Styela clava: one gene and its partner. The protein of the gene in region 1 purifies or fractionates together with the protein of each later gene. This does not show direct contact. Links are inferred from orthologs where the notes say so. Each region holds a gene or a part of one and is shown in the gene's direction. Other genes may lie near its edges.

What was found. Proteins that work in one complex are often made in the same cells at the same time.
Region 2: the proteins of phosphoglucomutase-1-like (region 1) and glyoxylate reductase/hydroxypyruvate reductase-like fractionate together in Homo sapiens (co-fractionation; 3 studies listed by BioGRID). This does not show direct contact. The link is inferred for Styela clava from reciprocal best matches to the Homo sapiens genes PGM1 and GRHPR.

What each region holds. Positions count from the first base shown.
Region 1 is NC_135260.1:7,603,508-7,611,257, forward strand, and holds the start of phosphoglucomutase-1-like, read left to right. Parts: upstream 1-4,560; 5' UTR 4,561-4,568; intron 4,569-7,750. Other genes in the region: putative MFS-type transporter C09D4.1, read right to left, coding at 2,555-2,594, 2,852-4,104. UniProt on the Homo sapiens protein: Catalyzes the reversible isomerization of alpha-D-glucose 1-phosphate to alpha-D-glucose 6-phosphate. The mechanism proceeds via the intermediate compound alpha-D-glucose 1,6-bisphosphate.
Region 2 is NC_135262.1:15,482,816-15,490,236, forward strand, and holds the start of glyoxylate reductase/hydroxypyruvate reductase-like, read left to right. Parts: upstream 1-4,268; 5' UTR 4,269-4,354; coding exon 4,355-4,428; intron 4,429-4,648; coding exon 4,649-4,779; intron 4,780-5,144; coding exon 5,145-5,263; intron 5,264-5,366; coding exon 5,367-5,437; intron 5,438-5,866; coding exon 5,867-6,063; intron 6,064-6,314; coding exon 6,315-6,450; intron 6,451-7,420; coding exon 7,421-7,421. UniProt on the Homo sapiens protein: Enzyme with hydroxy-pyruvate reductase, glyoxylate reductase and D-glycerate dehydrogenase enzymatic activities. Reduces hydroxypyruvate to D-glycerate, glyoxylate to glycolate, oxidizes D-glycerate to hydroxypyruvate.

The sequences.
Region 1 (7,750 bases):
GGTACACTGGTTCTTTCAATGCAAAATATTTCAAACTAAATTTGGGTAAACTTGTTAGGTTATTAAAAAATCGATGAGATATGCTTCGAATCTGAGAGTCCTCTGTCCAGGTTTTATCATTTTTCGTTCAATTCAAAATATAAATTCAAAGTGGTTATATTGATATTAATTCATAGTTTAATAAAATCAGTCTATTGGATTTTGCTGTATACAATATCAAAATGGATTCGGGTGTTTGGTTGCAATTCTACAATAGCTTATAAAATATTAAAGAATTTACAAAACTTCCAAGTTGATTTTACTTTATCCTCCAAAAAACATATCGTCACGCTAATAACCGAATTGCGTAAGTCATTTTTGACGATTTTGAGTTTTTAATAAAATAGGTATTTATGTAATGCTGCGCACCTGTCTGTTAACTCAGATTTTATTTTAGGAATTCCGAAACCCATAAAAATGGAGATTTAGTATGACATGCACATTTGTGCGATTGTTTCGTCATAATGAATTATCCTTGTTACCGCAGTACTATTGTGACGTCACAAAGGCAAAATAACCTCGGCGAAGTATTTTCGAGTTTTTGCATCTCGGATTCTAGCTTAGCGCGTATTAATTTGAATTTTTACTACAGTATAGGAAGACGTACACTTGTGATATTCACTGTCCGAGTCAAATTTACCTTGGTTGGCTTTTATATTGGGTGCATTGCTGTTTTATTCTTTATATTTTATCTTAGTCCTATTTCGGTGGGTGTGCAGAACGTGTTATATTGATGAAATATATATTTTTAAACATAAAAAATGATTTAATTGAAACTGATTAGCTATTTTGGGGATTAGACATTGTAGATACTGAGAATTACATTCGTTTTTGGAATGTTTAGTTTTCAGGACTGGTGCATATAGTGAAGTTGCAAATTGCGTATGTCACCAAGTCATAGACACATTTCTGCCTAAGTCACAGTGCGCCATTATGATGTCACTTAACTGCGTCATACAAATTAACTTAAATCCGGCTACGATCAAAAAATTGAACCATGGCAAATTATTGACTCTCAATTGCATAACAAAATCATTAGGAAGTTTTTTACGTTTTTCTCAAAACTGCTAAAAATGACTTACGCAATTCGGTTATTAGCGTGACGATATGCAACAGCAAATATGATCAAAAACAATCCACAAATATATGGACACATAGGTCAAATAGACTATCACACGATGAAATTATCTAATTACTTTAATTCAGGGGTCGGCAAACTGCGGCCCGCGAACTAATATTTTGCGGCCCTCAAACAACCCGACTTTAAATGCATACAAATCATATATTGATCCTACATTCATTATTGACTCCACACGAATTTATGTGGTAACAAGTGCTGATATACGGCGTTTGTTTTGTAGTAAGTAGCATCAGTTGTGTGTGGTTTACTTGATGAACGTCCATTTATAAGTTCAGTTTATTTTGATTTTTGAAAAATGTCTGGTAAACGGAGCAAAGATTCCGACGACGGTTGTACATGATTTTCTACATTTTTCTTTCCTGCGCATTTTAAAATCCGTTTGCATGATATGCCAAGTCAGCATCGCAGTTATTAAGTGACAGTGCAAAACTGGTGTAAGACACTGTAAGTACGCGTTCGAAAGCACATATTGCTGTGAGCAGCCTTATCTGAAATGCACTAAACTAAGAATAAACTTCGTACTAATTTGCGAGCGAATATCTCACTGAATAAATTTATCACCTAATCCGAATATTTACCCTCGTCTGTATGTATATACAATATACATCAGTTGAAAATCCCTGATTTATTTTTATATATTGCGTTAATTCAAGATACTTTTTTATCGTAGTTTTTACCTATAGTTGAACAGCGGTTTCTCTGTTGTGTGTAATCATATCACCGATTTGAAATTTGATATATATATATCACTAATCAAAAATTTTGTCGTTACCCGTATACAGTTTAACGTACGGAGAGACGTGTATATTGCTCGTTTCCGGGAGACCGGAAAAAAGTTTATGACTTATTATATTGGATTTTAATGATACAGAGTGAACCTGTGGATAGCCCGTTTTTTGAATGTTGTGATACTTGCCAAACCCGTGCTTGTTTATAGACGTTAAAAGACGCAGGAAATGGGATACGTGAATTTGACGTCATATTTTGCGTTTTGAAAGTTATGTAAAAGATTTATGTAAAGCATGTCATATTATTGTGACATAAAATACCTAGTGACCCACCTAGTGACATAAAATAAATTACCTAAATTGAGGGAACCTGATGTTGGTGAGTCCGATACAAAAGAGAACCCGTTTGAAACTTTCAAATCCCATCACTGCATGTAGTCAATCTGTGATAGATTTTGTATCCCTATATTTATGCATTGCTGTTTTGTTTGATTTTAGTTTTTAAAACTATCATCAAAATTGAATGATCTTTGGATGAATACTAGAGAAATTATTCAATTCTCTGGGCAAATCCTTTAAACTACCCGAGGATTCTATAAAGTCCCTGACCTCTCAATTAATAAAATTAAATGCACAAAGATTAATCTCAATGAATGCTTTTATTCAACATAAGTTCTCTATTCGTACTGTAAAAAATAACTTGAAGTCATAAAATATCTGCAAAAATTCTATATGTGCAACTTTTTAAAATAGAAATATCTTGAAAAAATCGTAGAACCATAGTGCAACAAATAATGCATATGAATGAATGAATCAATTGGAATCTTCGTCATTATTTTTTCCCGGTATTTTGTAAAAAAATATGTACAATACCCCGGCTATAACGTGAAAAGGTATTGGTATCAAAACGCTGAGGCCCGCGCCACCGTTTTGCAAAACATACCGGACAAAAGCTGTGTAAAGCGCTAAAGAAAACCATGGAACAGAGCCAGAAATGCTGAATGCACGAACCTTTGTGTCTGCTGGCTCGTTATACATCGTTTCAATCAAGGAATGAGATATGCAAACAAAACAAAAATCTCTGAAAAATGCTGTTCCCACATCACTTATAAAAACCAGCACAAAACTTTGTAGGTAAACACCAAGTGAAAACAAGCCGCACCAAATAATAACAGCGCATTGACCAAACACAAGAGTGACTTTAGGTCTCCTAAATTTATCAAGTACAAATCCACCCGTGGGTGATCCAAATGCACCTATAACGTAAGATACAATAAATACAATGCCTGCAGTGCTGTCATCGAGTTCTGGGAAAGCGTCTAAAATTATGGATGAAAGCATCCACTCATTCATTGGTCTAACTGAAAGCTGCAAAACGTACATGAACAATAAAAGAACATACTGGCCATTGGCGAATAAACTCAAAATTCCTCTAAGCTCCGTAAGTGGTCTCCATCCGTAGGTATTTGTTCCTGGAGACGCTTTTTTCCCATCTGCGCGAGGCGGGTAGTCTGTAACATACATTTGTGATAATACAAATGCGACAAGCGCTATTCCAGTAAGCGCTATGTACGAGATCTGAAAAGATGTTCTAAAATTTTTCAATAATTCATCGCTCTCAAAATACGCGGATGTTGCGTTAGCACTACCAACGTTAGCATAACCTTGTCGTATGGTCCGCGTTGCAACAATGTTGGATGCCACGGGAGATAATCGGCGTAATATCCACGGTAGTGCCACAGCTCTTCCACGCTCATTTTCGGGAAACCAGTTGCTGGGAGCCATTTGAGATAAGGTCAACGTCATTGTGGCACCAAATCCATTCATTATTTGTCCCATGCCAACAATCACCATGTTTCTTCTAGAAGATACACCGGCTGTAATAAGCAAATCACCGGCGACTATAGTACCGGTTGTAGCAAGTGCGAGTGATCGAAAATTTAACTGCTCTCCGCCCATTGCTAGAACAAAGCCGAAAACACTTCTTGCTATCATATTTATAGTTGACAAAACGTCCGTCGCTGCTGGGGTTGTTTCAAAATACTCCGAAGCAATATCGTTGATGAATCCGAAAAATGAAGCACTGAAGGTATCCAGAAATAAAATCGAACTTACGATCATTAAAATTCCCCATCTTTTGGGCGTGAGAATGTACGGGGTATTAGTCAGCAGTTGCTGGCTTTCGCTTCTAGACATTCTACAACTTGACACAAACTAAATATCTTTCAAAATTTTAAGCAGTTGCTTCTTCCACGGCCACAGTTTGTTTGAAGTCAGTCAGACATATAACACCACAAGAAGCAGATCAATCGTCATGCTTATTTCCGTCTTCGTACCTGAGCAACAGGCAGTTTCCTGCTTCGATAGCAATTAAAATGCGAGCATACACTTCCAGTGAGTAACGTTGTTTCACTTTTTCACGGGGTTCCCAGGCTGTATGAAGTTTTGTTGTGAGACGACCTCGTCTGTAATTCTGTTTTATTTTGTATGTCCATTCTCATTAATACCACTTGAGTTGCCATTGAGCAACTTCCTTTTTAGCTGGTTTGTCAGACTGCCGGCAGTGTGGAAGTTCCTGTGTGATTTGCGTATCTCTATTGTATTTAGTACTGTATTTTTATTGTTTATTGTGTTTTTCATTTGAATATTTGGTTGTATTAAGTTCTTACATGTGTATAATTAATATATGTAAATTAAGTTAGTTATTCTGCTGCAGTTGAAACCGCAACCGCTACCAATACTGGTACGCCACATTTACGGAAAATTGGCGACACGCCAGGATATATTATTCGACACAGGGATTATCAAGACTAAGTCGAATGAATAGGTAGGCTGGTCTGTGACGGATATTATTTGGACAATATCGGATATTAAGATTGTCGAAATTTTTTTTTCAAATTGCGGTTGCCTGATATTTCGGAATACGAAAGAGAATACGAAATTAGACTCGTCAGTTTATCATATTAACGACACACTGCGAGATATTTCTGGCATGATGAAATCTGGTGAAGTTTATGATCCTGATGAAACCAAGCCCATGTGTCAGCCTGATTACTTCAACACTAGCAATGGTTGTCCTTGAAGCACTGCCTGTTCTGATGATTTGAAATATCCGATTTTAGATCTGAAGATGGACAGTCAGAAGGAAAGCCTAACGCACTCTCGCAGACAATAGAAGTAAAATTTTCGGAGGAAGGTGATGTGAGTTCCCTTTCTTAGTTATAATGGTAAAATTAGATATTGATTTCAGTGGCTACACAATCTGTTCCCTCAGTGAGTGCTAACAGTGCCCCAAAGGACAATGTTAGCAGCAGTGTTCTCAATAACACAGCCAATGCTACGATGATGTCAAGAAAGTCAATGTATTTCGATGGGTCAACAACTGTCATGACATGACCACAGTATTTGTGCCATTTTGAATTGGTTATCAGGTATAATCAGTGGAATGATGGCACTGCAGGATTGGCTACTTCTATGACAGGGCAGACTCTCAATGTGTTGAAAGATTTACCAGATTTGAAGCGTACTATGCTTGGATATTGAGGCTCATTTTGATCATTTCTTTAAATCTGCCGGAAATGAGAGCTCATATCGTACTCCATTCACTGTCGTAGGATTAAGCCAAATGGCGCGCCACGGAATGACGGTAACAGTTTTTAAAGAGATTGTTATTCGGCGCTCTGGAAATATTTTTACCAAGGTAACGCACAACCTAAACAACCCTAACCTGGTAAACATACTATGTTCAGGTTGTGCGCCAGCTTGGTACGAATACTTCGAGAGCATCTGTCACTCTTGCTTACTCAAATCTTGAAGATGAAGATGATTTTGTGAAAGGGGTTCACGAGCAGATTTCCAGGGGTACTTGGATGGCAGTCGAGTTTTCGTGTGTTGCTTTTTTAACATCCTTTAACAAACAAAAAACTTCTATCAGATGAAAATGCTCAGCGTAGATTTTTCCTGATCTTGCGTTGTTGTGGTTGTGACGCAACAATATGAAATGCACGACTCTTGGTGTCTAATTACTGGGGGTTCGCGTTGATTTTTTTGTGACTCGGGGGGGGTACTTAACAGAAAAAAGGGTGAGAACCCCTGACTTAACCGATGAAAGCATGATTAAACATGTTACCATGCAACAGTGATACTTTTGGAGGAGCTTTCTCTCTTGCGACACTGTATTACTCTTTTGATACTAATCAATCTGAAAGAAAAGATATGTCTAAACCGCGCATTGCAGCAGTGCAACAGAGTAAAACCGGCAATATAGCTAATCTAGGGTTGCCATACGCCATATTTTTCTAAAGGTGTCAGTTGTGTCCCTGGAATATTGCGGCGATCAAAGAATGAAAAACGCACAACTGTGTTAGTGATATTCGGAGTTTTCTTGGTACAGCAAACTACTACCGAAAGTTTATCGAAGATTATCCAATGATTGCTGGACCTCTTATTCGATTACCCAGGAAGAATATTCCCTTTGTTTAAGGTAATGGATGACAAAAGGCTTTTGAAACATTGTCTGACATTAACCCCAATCCTTAGTTTTCCTAGACTAGATAGAACAATCGGCGAGTTTGTATTAGTTACTGATGACAGGGGTTTTGGAATTGGTGCGGTGTTATCCCAAGTGCATGCGCGTGTGTGTACTTGCGTATGTCAGTAAAATTTTGTCCAAGTCTCAGCGTAGATACTGTTCTACACACCGCGAACTATTAGCCGTGGTGTGGACTGTTCGTCAATCAAGCCATTTTCTTCTCGGAGGACCTTTATGAATCCGCACAGCTCATGCTGCTCTCAAATGGTTGATCAATTTTCGTGAACCACAAGGAACGTTAACAGGATTGACGTTAATTTCACTGGGCGCTTATGACTTTAATATTGAACAGAGACCTGGGGTGAAACATGGCAATGCTGATGGATGGTCACGCCAAATTCGCAAATGCAAACGATAAGATTGTTCAAATTTCGGTAACAATAGAAAAGTAACTCTGAGTAAACTCATTGTAAGTGCAATCTCAAAACAGGTGGTCATTTATCTTCAGATTGTAATTTGATAGATACATACACAGATGAGCAAATTAAATCTTGGCAAAGTGAAGATCCTGATATTTCTGCTGCTGTTTTGAAATGGGTACAAATTTCAGCTCACAAACCTGACGTTCAAGAATGCCTGAATAAACAGTGACCAAACGTTTAATTCCGAAATGGGATTCAAGTTTTGTAGACAATGGACTTCTTTATCGCCATTGGATTCCTGATTGTAACTAGAACTTCTTTTCAGGATTTAGGATACCAAGAATTCTTCATTCATATCAGAGAAGAGACTTTAAATTCGAATTATTTTCTGAGTGGTGTGCCATTTGTACGACATTCAAAAGGCTCGAACAAGTAGATATCATCCCCGTTCGGATGGACACGTTGAACGTTTTAACATGACAATACAGCAAATGTTGAAAGCTTTTGTAAAGGAGAATCAAAATGATTGGGATGACCATCTTCCATATCTTTGCATGGCATATTGCTCCACTGTACATGATAGTATAGGATATTCACCGAACAAGTTAATGCTTGGACGAGAAATTGAGATGACCGTTGATGTTATGTTTGGCAAATCAAGACCACCTACTCATCCTTGTTACACTGAGTTTGTCGAATGGTTTTCCTGTGCAACTGATAAAGCTTCCCTTCATGCTAGGCAACATCTAAATGCTGCTGCAACTAGACAAAAGCGAAATTTTGATCTGACAATTTTGATTTGACAATTTACCTGATGTGGAAACTAATATGGAAATGATGAGCAGGTTGCTTATGATATCTTTGAGGCTTGAGAGGTAACAGTAAATGC
Region 2 (7,421 bases), on another chromosome or scaffold:
ATCATCACATGTTTGAATACCCGAGCTGACTTCTACTGATTTGTTATTAATTTACAATTTTTTTTTTATAAATTAACTGTGGTACTTGCCAAGTGTCCACTAAGTGAAAATCTACAAAAAAAAAGCAGTGGTTTAATAATGGACTACATTTTTAACCGATTCCAAAAATGTTCCGTAACTTAGTCAACCCTTCTTCCAAGGAGTTTTTGTTAAATTGTTCAAACATCTTAACTGTTAATCTTGATAGCGAGCATGGGGGGCAGGGGGGAGCTGACTGTGATGGTCGTATCGCTCCCTAGTCTATACCGAATAACTGTGTGTTTTGTATATAATTTTTATTGATACAATGCTTGTATTCTGGTTGACAAAATAAATCTCTCTCTCGTATTCAGTCATATTCTTTGACCTAGTTAGGAGACCGGTATTGTACCATTATAGGTTGGAGATATTCATCTTTTTTGTATACCGGTACAGTACAACTTATCCTGCCTATTGGCAGGATGGCCAACATTTCTGTATTGTTCGTAGGCTTATTTCAGTATTTACTAAATAATTTAGTTTTCACCTCTTGCAGCCTTGGTACGGTACCGGTAGTTTAAATAACACGTCAGCATTACGGACTTTCATACGAACCATCGGAGCGTGACGGCTGCTGCCAGACACTGTTTTTATCTCACTCTTGGGGGACGCGGCGGTTTCGCTTTTCATTCGCGAGTTTGAGCTGTAGCTTGGTTGAGGGCCAATGTTGCACCTGGAGTGTACTGGATCAGGTGGAACTCGTAATATCTTTTTCAAAGGTATAAAATACGGTACCGTACTATATATACTATGCTGACTATATTAGATAGGATGTCCGGCTACCAGTACTGCAGTACCTGGTAGCACTGAAGTCCGGTACCTGCTATACAGTTCTTCAAGTTGTGTCAATGCCACTGCTTACTACCGCGTTAACCCGAAAATAAAACCTTGTCCGAATTATGAAAATTATTGTAATATAAGCCCTTTAAAATGATAGTCCATACCTAAATTAGAAGAAATTGTAACTTGATGGCAAATTTGTGGAGCGAAATCACAGGCTGAAAGACGTCTGTTTGCTGTTGCTGACTTGACTACATAAGGTGAATATAAGTTGTAATCGGAAACCTCACAAAAATACAGTATGACAAACCTTTCAAATATAGCAATGGGCCTAAAGACTCCAATCATGAAATAACAAAACATGTTAAACACCGATATGACATTACTGTTTAACATATATAATGTTCGTTGCCGTTTTGATTTTATATATTAGAATCTGAACCTATATATTATTTACATTAAAAACATGAACTATGACAATAGACAATACGTTTATTTCGTCGTGCTAGAAATTACAACACAAGTTCACAACAGATAAAAAATTATGCATTACAGTAACAGATTTCATTGCAATTGACAAGAAATCGCGAAGGACCAGAAATGGTCATCATAAGTCAGCGACACCTAGATTTAAGACGAGTCAAAAGTAAAAATTGCAATTAAAGAAAGCAATGGATACAAAGAGAAACTTAGTCATTCAATAAATTACCAACATAACAGGGAGTGATATAAATATTCATATACGGTAGCATTTGGGAGAGAGAAAAAAACATAAGGCGTGGAAATTCAGTGATTAATTTTTTTTATCTTCGTTCATTTCGTCATGCAGGAAATAATACACACATTCAAGGCACAGCTTATACAATACAGAAACGGATTTAGTCGCAATTTAAAAGCAGGTGGCTTTCAACGCAAGAAACAGAAGGGGTCATCATAAGTCTGCGACACCAACATTTGAAATGAGTCAAAAATTGAAATAATAAAAAAGGTAACGGTAGAGAATATTATTTTCATGTTGTTGCAATATATTTTGAACCTACTTATGTTGGGAATTCTAAATTAGACAAAATATTACTGTGTACAAATTTGAATAAATAAATTGTTTCTTTCAGTACCGAACGCCGTCGCGTGAGGACGTGGCTACCTCGAGCCGAAGATATGCATTCGAGAAGTGAATCCCAGACTTAGTGACATCAATAAACAAATAACAGAAATGGCAGATTTTTTAATGATGGACTGGAAATGTGCAAAATGGAAGATTTCGTGATGGACGAAATTATGCTCTGCTCAAATATGGAAAAGACCGGATATACAAATGTTAAACCGTAAATATATATTACTACGGTTAAACTGCACGAACTGGTATTTAAAAATTCACAATCGATTTTTAAATTGGTGTGTTAACGTTTTAGTAGATTTTACTAGATATATGTTTGAGCATGGAACGGAAACATGCATTCGCACTTCATTCTAGGATTTTTCGGATTGTTTGTTTACATGCCGCATCACACGCACAGCGGATATTGAAAAGATTGCACGCAACCTGATTACCAAGTGAAACGCCTGAGTAATGACTGCCGTCAATATTCATGTTTATTTGTTTGTGTTTGTGACTCGTTTTCTTTCTTCTTTGGTAAGTGAACGCGTTTAATACGTTTTAAACCTATTTTATTAGGTTTTGTTCACTTTCCAGATTCTTCGTCTTAATCTTTTGTGTAGATATGTTTACTTTGTTTTTGCGAATGAATCGAAATAAAATCTTATCTTTTTTAATGCTGTTGCAACCAAAGCCAGTGTAATAAGACCAAATCCCAGTTTATTGTAAATTTGAGACATAACTTTCTTCGAAAATTTAAGTCTACCCTAAATTTCAAATGCCATTCACTTATTAATTTCTTGCATATCACCATTATTGCAATTTATACAAATCAACTTAAGTAAAATTTCATTTTTAATAAAAATAAAAATATCATAATTATTGTTGAGTGTTCGAGGGGTGCGAGTTTGACATCCTCTGGTCTACCGTGCTGAGAATGCATCCAAATGATATCCAGGCTTCAGCCCCGATCATCTATTAAACAAATTCCACATCTAGTAGGGCATTTATGCAGAGTCCCAACAACTTGGGGGATCATTCCTTTTTCTAATTTTGTATCAATTGTAATCTTCTTATTAAAACATGATTGGTACCTAATCAAGGGTGAAATTTCCTTTCTTGATAGCTGCTTTCTCCCTCCATATAGTTACATTCTTTTGCAGTTCATTACAATATACAATAAACTTTTATTTCGATTACTCTTACTTTGCAAAGTACGTCATTTCATAGATAGCTCTTAGGTATGTAATCCTTTTCTACTGGAAAGTGAAATTGGTTTTGGGAGGTAGAAACTAAAATTTCACCATTTTTTTTTTTTCTTTTTTCTACTTTAGCCTTTCCAACGTGACAAACCACCATCTGATATTTTTCAGCTTCACTCCACTGTAAAATATTCATAACGTTGGCGAGTGGATGTACCTTCCTAATTTCGCCATGGGACAGTCTAAAAATATTTGTTTCCCATGGGAAATAATGGATCGGGGTTCAGTGGGACATGCCACTGGGCACAATTCGGCAGTGTTTGATCCATTGAGTGCTCAGAGGCCTAGAGATGCGCAATGAGCATATATATGCTCATTGAGATGCGTTATCTTTTGTGTAATATTTTGGTATCTTTCGCCCCATGGCCCAATATGAAATATATTCGAGAATCAAAAGTATTTCTAAATTCAGATTTGACAAAGGAAATAATTCAATTTGTTTACGGAAATTTATGGAAAAATATCTGAAATATTTTGGATGGACATTGATTTAAAAAATATTGAATCTTAAAATTTGTAGTCTCCCTGTTCTTTATATGATAATGCTTATTTTTAAGGGAATAATACGTTGAATTTAACAGAATGACCCATTGTGCCCCAGGTTCTGTCCGAATGTGCCCACAAGTGGGGTACAGTGGGACACTTGACAAGCGTTTTTTAAAGCATTTTGGTGGTAAGATGTGTGTCGCAAGGGAATTTCCTAGCCGCTGAATAAAAACTACATTTACGCTCTCTGCAATAATCCTGCAAAGTGAAATGATTGTGCAGAATAAATGGCTCAAATTATGCAAAAGTAAAAAAAATATCTCAACCTTCCCCACTTTCCCCAACCTGCTGTGCAAGTTGGAGAAAGTGCACTGGGTAAAAGTTGACTTGTTTGCATATCCGAATATAGGTATTATTGAATGTTCATATTAAAATGGGTTTGTCAAGTTTGCGTTGCTAATATGACGAATATTGTCAACAAAATTTAATCGGTAATCGTAACTATATGTAATACCAGTAATAATACGTCGAGCGGTTTTATAATATTGTGTTTTAGACTCCGCTTTTCTGCATTTTTGCAGTCTTGTGGACTTCTGCTTTTTGTGTTTGGGATTAACGCACAGGACGGTACCGGTACCTCTTCGACGTTGGAATGTCCTCCACGGTTTTTAGAATTCTTGTTACACGGAGAATACCGAGAGAAGCCATCGATATTCTTGCTACCAAGTAGGTATTTTACATGTTTTAGTGTATTGCTAAATTCGTAGCCTCGGCATAGTTAACAAACAGCTTCTTGCAGTCATCTTTTCAGTTTTTTTGATGGCTGATATTTAATTCAATTATCCTAACAGTGTAGACATATACGGTCGGACGATATCTAGACTTCTTTGCTATCAGAAGTCAGTCTTAACGTTTTTTTAGCTTGACTAATATTGTGCTTATTCAGATGCAATATTGATGTCTGGGACAGTGATGAATGCATCCCTAACCAAACATTGCATAAACGAATAGAAGGAATTGATGGATTATTTTGTCTTCTTACTGATAAAATTGGCAGTGCAACACTTGATGCTGCAGGTAACATAGAAGATGATTTGTCCAAGAAATATTGTTGTTTAATTGAGATTTGGTGGGATATATTAAAGTCAGCCAGAAAAGCGCCAAAGGGCTAAAGGGAAGTTTGCACTTGTTAATTTCAATTTGTTAGAAATTTTTTCTTTTATTTTTTTGTAATTGCATACACATAGTTAAGAAATTTTTGTTTTCTTGTTTTTATTAAAATAAGGTGCTATTAAATTCACTTTCAATGGCTGAATATTTTAATCTATTAAAATTTTATGTGTAATTAGTCTTCAAGGAGTTGATATGGGATGATAATTCACAATGGTTTTTGATATGGTTTTATAGAGCTTAACTTTTTTCATCAAAATTTTTATCATCAGGTCCATCATTGAAAGTAGTAAGCACTATGTCTGTTGGTGTTGATCACATAGATTTACGTGAATGTGCCAGAAGAAATATAAATATTGGATATACTCCAGATGTTTTAACAGCGGCAACGGTAAAATAGAAATTTTGAGACTTGCTGCAATATGAAGATCTCTCATTCTTTCGTATGTCAAAAATTGAATTATTTTAATGAATGCTTTTTAATTTTGTCATAGGCAGAATTTACTTTAGCATTATTGCTTGCAACATCTCGTAGAATTGTTGAAGCAACACGAGAAGCGCAGAGGTCAGTATATGTGAGCATACTGAAACCTTAATTGAATTTGTCTATTCTTGCGGAATATAGAGGATTTTTACTTTTTTTTGCATTAAAGTATCGTTGGGAATTAAGGTTACTTGGTACACTGCCAATAGTGTATGAAATCAAATTTGAATTATAGGTTTTTTGCTTTCTCAATTATTTGTACTTATACATCCTCCTCCTACAGGATGTATATGAAAATCTTATACCATGGTGAGCGTGAGCACTGTCTGTATATACTCAAAAACATAATCTAGACAGCTTGTGGGGATTGATTTCTGTAAAATTATAAAATCAATAGTGCTAACGGTGCACTAAGGTCATTCCTGTATTGAAATATACTAAGTTAAAAGCTTGCCTCACAATAAATACTTATTAGCCAACTTTATTCACTTGTCTCTTTTCCATATTTAGTGGAGGCTGGGGAACTTGGAAGCCTACATGGTTATGTGGTCCATCTTTATTGGGAGGTACTGTCGGTATAGTTGGTTTGGGTAGAATTGGAATCGCAACGCTGGAGAGACTCAGACCTTTTGGACCAAAAAAGTTTCTGTATAATAATACTAAACGAAGGTCAATAGAAGAGGAAAACGAACTTTCAGTCGAATATGGTAACTAGGGTTTTATTGTACAAAAATTGCCTACAAATTTTTTTTTACGCTCATATTCTGTCCACTGGTTAACAACACTGAACTTTGGCCTACTCAAGTTCTTCTCCAAACTTAGAGATTTACATCCTGGATATCTGGCACCGGTAGCCATCGTTTAGTGTATGTGGAAAATTGCTTTCCTGGTCCCAGTAAATGTTTATTTGTTTCTTCGATGGATGACACAATTATTGTTTGATAAAATTTTAACACAGCTACTCTAGATGACCTTTTGAAAAGAAGTGACTTTGTGCTCTGCTTATGTGCTTTGACTCCAGAATCAACAAATCTATTTAACAGAGAAGCTTTTAATAAAATGAAAAGGACTGCGATCTTTATAAATACAGCCAGGTAAACATGTTTTTTTGTGATTTTATTCCAGTACACTATAAAAGTGAGAGTTTTGAACTGATTGTATTGTGAATCTGTGATGGGAGCAAAAGGTGATGAAATTTTATAGGCCCAAGGTATTTAACAATGGATCACAAGCACTTCCTGAAACTCTAAAGCTCTTAATATTAAAATACTTCTTTATTTTATAATCAAGCCCATGCATTTGAAGCGAATAACTGGCTAATATATTCCATATTCGATATGGACTGGTATCCGGAAGAAAGGCAATGGTTCGCCATATGATTAAGCTGTTTTATTGACATTACCCTCTGGGATAAATATGAAAATCCTAATAAAAATCCTGCACTTGAATTTGTAAGCTGTTATTGTAAAGCTGACAGGCTCTGTATTACTATATTCAAACCTATTCAATCTTTTTTTAATAAATTCACTTTGTCTATTTTGAAACTCATTTATTCCTCTTTACTATGTATATTTTAAAACTGTAACCCCATTATTTGCATGTATAGCTAACCCTCCATGTACCATGGATTCTTTACATGATTCCATGCACAACATATCAATAGATTCTGATGTTATGTTATAATTGGTTGGTTGTGTGGTGCATCATTCTGAGTGTCAGGAATACATTCGCACTGCGCCTCTGATTACCTTGTGTGGGTTAGCACTTCGCAGGTTTGAATCCTGGGATTATTATGTGTGAAAGGTTTGCTGGACTCAGCCGCCGTATGGTGGTTCACATAACCAATTGCTGGTCGGTTATAACTTCCTCCGCCATCAAGTCCATGCATATGAAACAAATGACTGGCTGACTAATCCCATATTTGATATGGACTGGTAACCGGATGAGATGCCGAGATTCGCCATAAGTTAATTGTTCACTTTACAATCCGAGTTATTCCATATGTGATTTAAGCCTATATTTGCGCTGTTATTTCATTACATTTTGCTTCCCATGTTCATACAGG